Linked DNA regions of Kluyveromyces lactis. The protein of the gene in region 2 interacts with the protein of the main gene of each other region in a pairwise test. Links are inferred from orthologs where the notes say so. Each region holds a gene or a part of one and is shown on either strand. Other genes may lie near its edges.

Region 1 (3,534 bases), on a different chromosome or scaffold from region 2:
CTGAGAGTTTGTCATCATGGAAGCCATCGACATCACCTTTAGTTGGCTCATCGCTCTGTTTCTCTTCCGCCACTACTCGCTTCAAATCGGCGAAAAGTTCATCTACATTAAGGCTGTCCATGTTTGTTTGGGTTTTAGTGTCCTTGAGGGTCTTTAGCTTATCAAAGGACGCACTCTAAATGGTTTTTATCACACTCTTTCTATCACCTCGTTAAGGCGATGAGCTGGGAGCTATGTAACTATTTTTTTTTTTTACCTTCTGAGCTTCGGATGTTTTGATGCACTTTCGTCGTAGAAAAGAAAGCAACGGTCACGTGCGGGATGAAAGATTCTCCATCTAATACTTATTCTTTAACATCGGTTCAGAAAGATCAAATAAATTGTACTCTCCACAGCTCCCCTTTCAACTAAAACAATATTTATCTTTTAGCGTCTTCTTTGTCTCTACAATATAGTCTCAAACTAAGAAGTCATATGCATCTTTACATACTTCCAAAATCAACAACAAAAAAGAGCAGTAAAGAAAACTCCACACACACACAAACACAAATAAGCCACCGAGGATGACTGTAACGGCTCTGACAGCAGAACAGATAATTAACAAAAAGAGATCCATGGAAGACCTTAAGAATATACAAGTACAAAGAAGTAAACGAGCCATTGCTCGTTATAAGAACGCTCCTCTACACACATCTGCTGACGAGGATCGCAAATCTGGGAACAAAAGACATATAGTAGCCATTGATGACTCGTTAAAGATAAACTATGAGGTGATTCGTCATATTCCAGGTCAGCTAGCTCAGCGAGAAGAAATTGAAGATTTAAACAGGCTTAAGTTGATCCAATATAAGGATTCACTCAATAAGATGCACGAAGACTATATCGATATATGGAAAAGAGAAGACCCAGCTTTGGAAAACGTGGACTATGCACAGTTAGATGAGTCCACACTGCTGGAAGAGAAGAAATGGCTCACAGAACTAAATGATAAACTTAAGAAGGATTATACAGAAGCTGTTCAACTTGAGAAGAAATGGTTTCTCTTAAAAGAGATCATGCTAGAAGCTTGCACAAGGCTAGATCTTTGTGCCGAATCAAACCCGCTTCTCAATAAAAACCAAATCACCCTGGATGAATCAAAGGGTACACTACTGTAATTATAATGAAGCTATATGTACGTAACATTACATTACAATATAGGAATGCAAACTGACTCACGTGATATCATTTTGAACGTCTGTCACTACTACAGGTCTTTTTCACTCTAGTGAAAAATTTAATTGTACAGAACAAAAATCAGATTCTGTTCGAACATCAAATACAACAAACTTGATGGGCACGTCAAAGCTTGACTCGTCTAAGGCAGATTCTGGCATAACGTTGTCGTGGTAATTCAGCGTAAACGTTTGATACAGTAGTGATTCTGTATTAAAGATATCATCCGTTACCATATTCAATTAATACTCATTGCACGATGTCTGATATTCAATTGGAAATTTTACAGAAAGTCGAAAAGTTGGGTCAAATTGACTCAACCTCTGAGCTGTACCCCAGTATCGATTCTCAAACCATGGCTGCTTATTTGAATTCTTTGAAATCCCATGAAAAGATCGATTTCTCAAAGAAAGATACCATTTTCTACAGTTTAACTAAAGAAGGTAATGCGATCGTGGCCGATGGTTCTCATGAAGTGAAACTCTTGAAATTGATTGATCAGTTTGGAAAATTGCAAATCAAAGATGTTGCCAGTCATCTAGGCGCCGACGGGAAGGTTGGTCAAGCTAGAGCCTTCAAGAACGGATGGATTGTAAAGACACCAGAAAATGAATTGAAAGTTAGTGACAAAATTGCAGATGTCTCCCAAGTGAAAGATCAAACCAAGGAACAATTGGAAAAGATTAAGAATAACGAACTTTCTGGTATCAGTGATAAAGAAGTTGCTGATCTAAAGAAGAGAAAGTTAATCACCCCAAGAAAGGAAACTACATTCAGCGTTGTCAAGGGCAAGGAATTCTCTACCGATTTGACTAAGCTGGAGACTGAGATTACCGCTGAAATGGTAGCCACAGGTTCATATAAGGATCTAAGGTTCAAAGAGTTCAATTTCAACTCTCAAGGTATCGATCCACAATCCGGTGCTCTGCATCCTTTGAACAAGGTCAGAGAGGAATTCAGACAAATTTTCTTCTCTATGGGTTTCACTGAAATGCCATCAAACCAATACGTAGAATCAGGATTCTGGAACTTTGACACATTATACGTTCCACAACAACATCCAGCTCGTGATTTGCAAGATACATTTTACTTGAAGGACCCAATCAAATGCGATATGCCAGATGATAGAGAATATATCGCCAACATCAAAGCTGTACACGAGAATGGTAAATTTGATTCGATTGGTTACCGTTACAACTGGAAGGAGGAAGAGTGCCAAAGATTGGTTCTTAGAACACATACTACAGCAATATCTGCTGCTATGCTTCATAAGTTGGCCAAAGATCCAAAACCAACCAGATTATTCTCGATAGACCGTGTCTTCCGTAATGAAGCTGTTGACGCTACACATTTAGCCGAATTCCACCAAGTTGAAGGTGTTTTAGCTGATTACAATATAACGTTGGGTGACTTAATCCAATTCATGGAAGACTTCTTCGCTAAGATGGGTGTTACGGGGTTGCGTTTCAAACCAACCTATAACCCATACACGGAACCTTCATTGGAAATTTATTCATGGCATGAAGGGTTAGGCAAATGGGTTGAGATTGGTAACTCCGGTATGTTCAGACCAGAAATGTTGGAATCCATGGGCCTTCCAAAGGATATGAGAGTTCTGGGTTGGGGTTTGTCTTTAGAGAGACCTACAATGATTAAATACAAGGTTCAAAATATTAGAGAGCTTTTGGGTCACAAGGTTTCTTTGGATTTCATTGAATCGAACCCTGCCGCTAGGTTAGATGAAGATTTGTATGAATGATTTTCCTTGATTGTTCTAAATTGCTTTTGGTAGTTTATAAAATCTATATATGCGCTTCATATCTTCAAATCACCTGTCAGATAGTAATCTATACAGACTACCTTTCCGTTGTTTCCAATGCTCAAATATGTTGTCACTAAAATCCAAATCTCCATATCGATTAGTAGTAGTGGAAAGATGTACTTGTGATTTTGTTAATGTTTCGCAATGAAACCTAAGAATGTCTTCCTGGCTGGTAATAGGTCGAGCTAGTTGCCCATTATTTATGTGTTGCTGCTTGATCAGCTTCCAGTATTGTCCAGCTAGCGATTGATGTCTTATCGCACCATTATTTTTGAGTTCATCCTTTGTGGCTCGTAGCATTTGCTTCGGTAAGTCTGCATAACCATTACGAAGCTGCCATTCCAAATCTGTCATTTCCAATCTACCGGTTGTCATGGGTCTCTGTACAGCACCTTTGAAACCTTTAAATAAAGGCAATTTTAAGCTAGGGTCAATATTGTCGTCTTCATGCATATTTGAGTTTGCCGATACCCTTATTAAACTCCTTTGAGATAACA
Region 2 (3,908 bases):
TGTTTATTAGAGAGAGAGACTTTTGATATTACAGCTTAGCTATTTTGTTTGCTTTTGTGATAACACAGCCTAACCAAGACTAGTATATTCAAGTATGTTACCTATATCGTGGGCTGAATGATACGTGTGTGAGAAAGATCAAATGAGATAAGGATAGAATTGCAATTAATAGGAAACCAACAGAAACCTAAGCCTGAGGACCCAGAATGAATTGTATCTCCTGAATGGAAATCCGATGATCTATTACAGAGAGCGAAGCGACATGGAGGGGAGAGAGAGGCTAATTAAATTTACAGACAATACTTCTTCGGAGCCAGTATGAATATCAAAAAGATGATAATTCAACCTAGACAATGGAAGGGAAAGTGAGATAAATAACGGCCCATGAGCTTTAGTATCGGACCATCCTACAGTCCATGTTAGCATATGAGGATGGTCTGATTTTCCACGATTATAAAGAAATGGAAAGATTTAGACAATACAACTTAACTTATCACTCTCACATACGAGGATTATTATTCGAATATTAATTTACTAACATAAATTGTTATGATAATAATTTGTAAACGCACACTGTTGTCGTTGTACCAGATTATTATACATTGAATAAACTTTTACAGAATGCCAAAGAAGAGAGCTTCCAACGGTAGAAACAAGAAGGGTAGAGGTCACGTCAAGCCTGTCAGATGTGTCAACTGTTCCAGATCTGTTCCAAAGGACAAGGCCATCAAGAGAATGGCTATCAGAAACATCGTTGAAGCTGCTGCTATCAGAGATTTGTCTGAAGCCTCTGTCTACGCTGAATATGCTCTTCCAAAGACCTACAACAAGTTGCACTACTGTATTTCTTGCGCTATCCACGCTAGAATTGTTAGAGTCAGATCCAGAACTGACAGAAGAATCAGAGCTCCTCCACAAAGACCAAGATTCAACAGAGACAACAAGGTTTCTCCAGCTGATGCCGCTAAGAAAGCTTTGTAAATCTAACCTTAAACAATAGCAAGTCATTTAAATGAAGATATGAATTTATCTTTTTATTATCATCAAAATGTATTCTTTTCTCTATGTTTAATGTTTAGATCTGTATAGTTTTATATCAATAACTAAAACGCACCCAAATAACTTCAAGAAAGTCAGTTTTAGCCTTAGTTGTGCTTGTTAGGATGCAGTATGCACTAGACCATCTGAGACCAATCTTTATTAGAAGAGCACCTAAAGCCATTTGGTTAAGCGGTGCCTTTGCTGGTCAATGGTAACGAGAATATCATAATACACGATTTGATCTGTTCAATTTTTCATGTATTACTGAAAATTGTTTTAAAGAGTAATTACGATCTCGAATGATGCTAAACCATGTGTTAACTTTCAATATAAGGTTACGTTCGTTTTATCCTTTTAAAATTAGAATCCACTGATCATTAATTGGCTGTCGTTATTTAACGGTTTCAGGCGACATATTTCCTACCAGATATATCCATTTTCAGCGTACTTTTATCTTCTTTTTGCTGGGGCATTTTATAGAAAATTCAGCTATTATTGTTAACTTTGTGATTCCTGATTAACAACATGCCTACCATTTCAGTTAACAAGAGGCAATTGTTTGAGGCCTTGGGCAAAAACTACACCAATGAAGAATTCGATGAATTATGTTTTGAATTTGGTGTTGAATTAGATGAAGATACCACTGAAGAAGCTTTGAAGACAGGCGAGGAACCAGAATTGAAAATTGAAATCGGTGCCAACCGTTACGATTTACTGTGTATCGAAGGTATCGCTCAATCTTTGAATGAATTTTTGGGTAACGTTGAAGCTCCAGAGTATAAGTTGAGCAAACCAACTACCAAGTTAATCATTGAAGAATCTACAACTCAAATTAGAAGTTACGCTTGTGCTGCCATCTTAAGAAATGTTACATTCACCGAAGCCAACTATGCATCGTTCATTTCTCTTCAAGATAAGTTACACTCAAACTTGTGTAGAAACAGAACTTTAGTTGCCATTGGTACACACGATTTGGATACCATTAAAGGTCCTTTCCACTACAGAGCTGAAAAGCCAACTGACATCAAGTTTGTGCCCTTAAATCAAAGTAAGGAATACGATGGTGCAGAGTTAATCGAATTGTACAAACAACCAGAACAAAAGAACAACTTGGGCCGTTTCGTTCACATTATCGAAGATTCCCCTGTTTTTCCTGTCATCTACGATGACAATAATGTCGTTTGTTCTCTGCCTCCTTTGATTAACTCTGAACACTCTAAAATTTCTCTGAACACCAAGAATATTTTTATCGAAGTTACTGCAACCGATAGAACCAAGTCCGAAGTTGTCTTGGACCAAATCGTTGCTATGTTCTCCCGTTATTGTGAAGACCAATTCACCGTGGAGCCAGTGGAAATTGTTTCTGAACACAACAATCAATCTAGAGTAACCCCAAATTTCACTCCAAAAATTATGGACGTCAAGGTCGATTACATCAATTCTTGTCTAGGCCTAACCTTATCCCCAGAAGAGATCTCAAAGAACTTGAAAAAGATGTCGTTGAAAGCTACACCTTCCTCTGACGACCAAAACATCTTACATGTTGAAATTCCAATTACGAGATCTGATATTTTACATCCTTGTGATATCATGGAAGACGCTGCTATCGGTTACGGTTACAACAACTTACCAAAAGGCAATCAATTGTCTAATGCTAACTTCGTTGCATCTGCGTTACCTATCAACAAAATTTCAGACATTCTAAGGATTGCTTCCTCTCAGGCTTCATGGTTGGAAGTTTTGCCATTGACCTTATGCTCTCATGATGAAAACTTTAAATTCCTAAGGATGGAAGATGATAACACAAAGGCTGTAAAATTAGCTAACCCAAAGACTTTGGAATACCAAGTTGTCAGAACTAGTTTATTGCCAGGTATTCTAAAAACTGTTAAGGAAAATAGAAAGCACTCTTTACCTATCAAAGTTTTTGAAGCCGGTGATGTTGTTTTCAAGAATGATAAACTAGAAAGAAGAGCATTCAACCAACGTCATTGGGCCGCCGCTTATGTCGGAAAAACTGCCTCATTTGAAATTATTCAAGGTTTACTAGGGAAAATTATGCAGACTTTCAGAACTCAATGGCTACCTGATTATGGTGCGGGATCCACTGGCAGAGGTTACTGGATTGAAAAAGATGATACCCTCACTACCTACTTCCCGGGTAGAGGTGCAAAGATCATGTTCAGACACAAAGAAGGAGAAGAAGCTAGGCAGATCGGTCATATTGGTGTTTTACATCCTGAAGTAATGTCCAACTTCGACATTCCATATGCCGGTTCTTACGTTGAAATCAATTCAGAAGCTTTCTTATAGATAGGTAGAGATAATACTTGCACTCTCATGTATTAATTCTATAAAATTTTGATATAAGTGTATATATACTTACCACTGCAATATTTTCATCACGCAAAAGTCAGTTGGACTTCTACTTCTCGACAATGTCTCGAGACGAGTGATCAATATCCTTCTGTACCTCGTCCTTGAGTTTTGAAATCTCTTGGATAAGTTGGTCTTTGTGCACATCCGTAGCTATGCCTTCTTCGGTATCCCCATTCACTTCTGGCCCTAATGTCTTGTCCTTTAGAGTCTGTTCATACATTTCTTGCCATTCAACTTTCTGAGGTTTGAACCAAGAAGATTTAGATAACCATTTGTGCTTTCTCTTTTTCTTACCATGGGATTCATCAGAAAGTTTCTCCTGGGCAGATTCTAATTCAGCAACAAGTTTCCTCTGTCTAGCAACTTGTTCCGGATCCATTGGGTCTTCAATTTCTACGAACTCTTCACTGAGTACAGACATACCAATGGCTTTAAGAAGTTTAGGCATTTTCTTTCTATAACTCATATGCCCGTCAACTATCTCACTG

The links.
Region 1: the proteins of FRS1 (region 2) and FRS2 interact in binary tests that used the Saccharomyces cerevisiae proteins (3 or more experiments, as listed by UniProt). The link is inferred for Kluyveromyces lactis from reciprocal best matches to the Saccharomyces cerevisiae genes FRS1 and FRS2.

What each region holds. Positions count from the first base shown.
Region 1 is NC_006042.1:2,348,632-2,352,165, reverse strand, and holds FRS2 (phenylalanine--tRNA ligase subunit alpha), read left to right. Parts: upstream 1-1,474; coding exon 1,475-2,974; downstream 2,975-3,534. Other genes in the region: FCF2 (Fcf2p), read right to left, coding at 1-121; IES3 (Ies3p), read left to right, coding at 564-1,157; OSW2 (Osw2p), read right to left, coding at 3,044-3,534.
Region 2 is NC_006040.1:440,261-444,168, forward strand, and holds FRS1 (phenylalanine--tRNA ligase subunit beta), read left to right. Parts: upstream 1-1,566; coding exon 1,567-3,354; downstream 3,355-3,908. Other genes in the region: RPS26A (40S ribosomal protein eS26), read left to right, coding at 622-981; MIL1 (Mil1p), read right to left, coding at 3,467-3,908.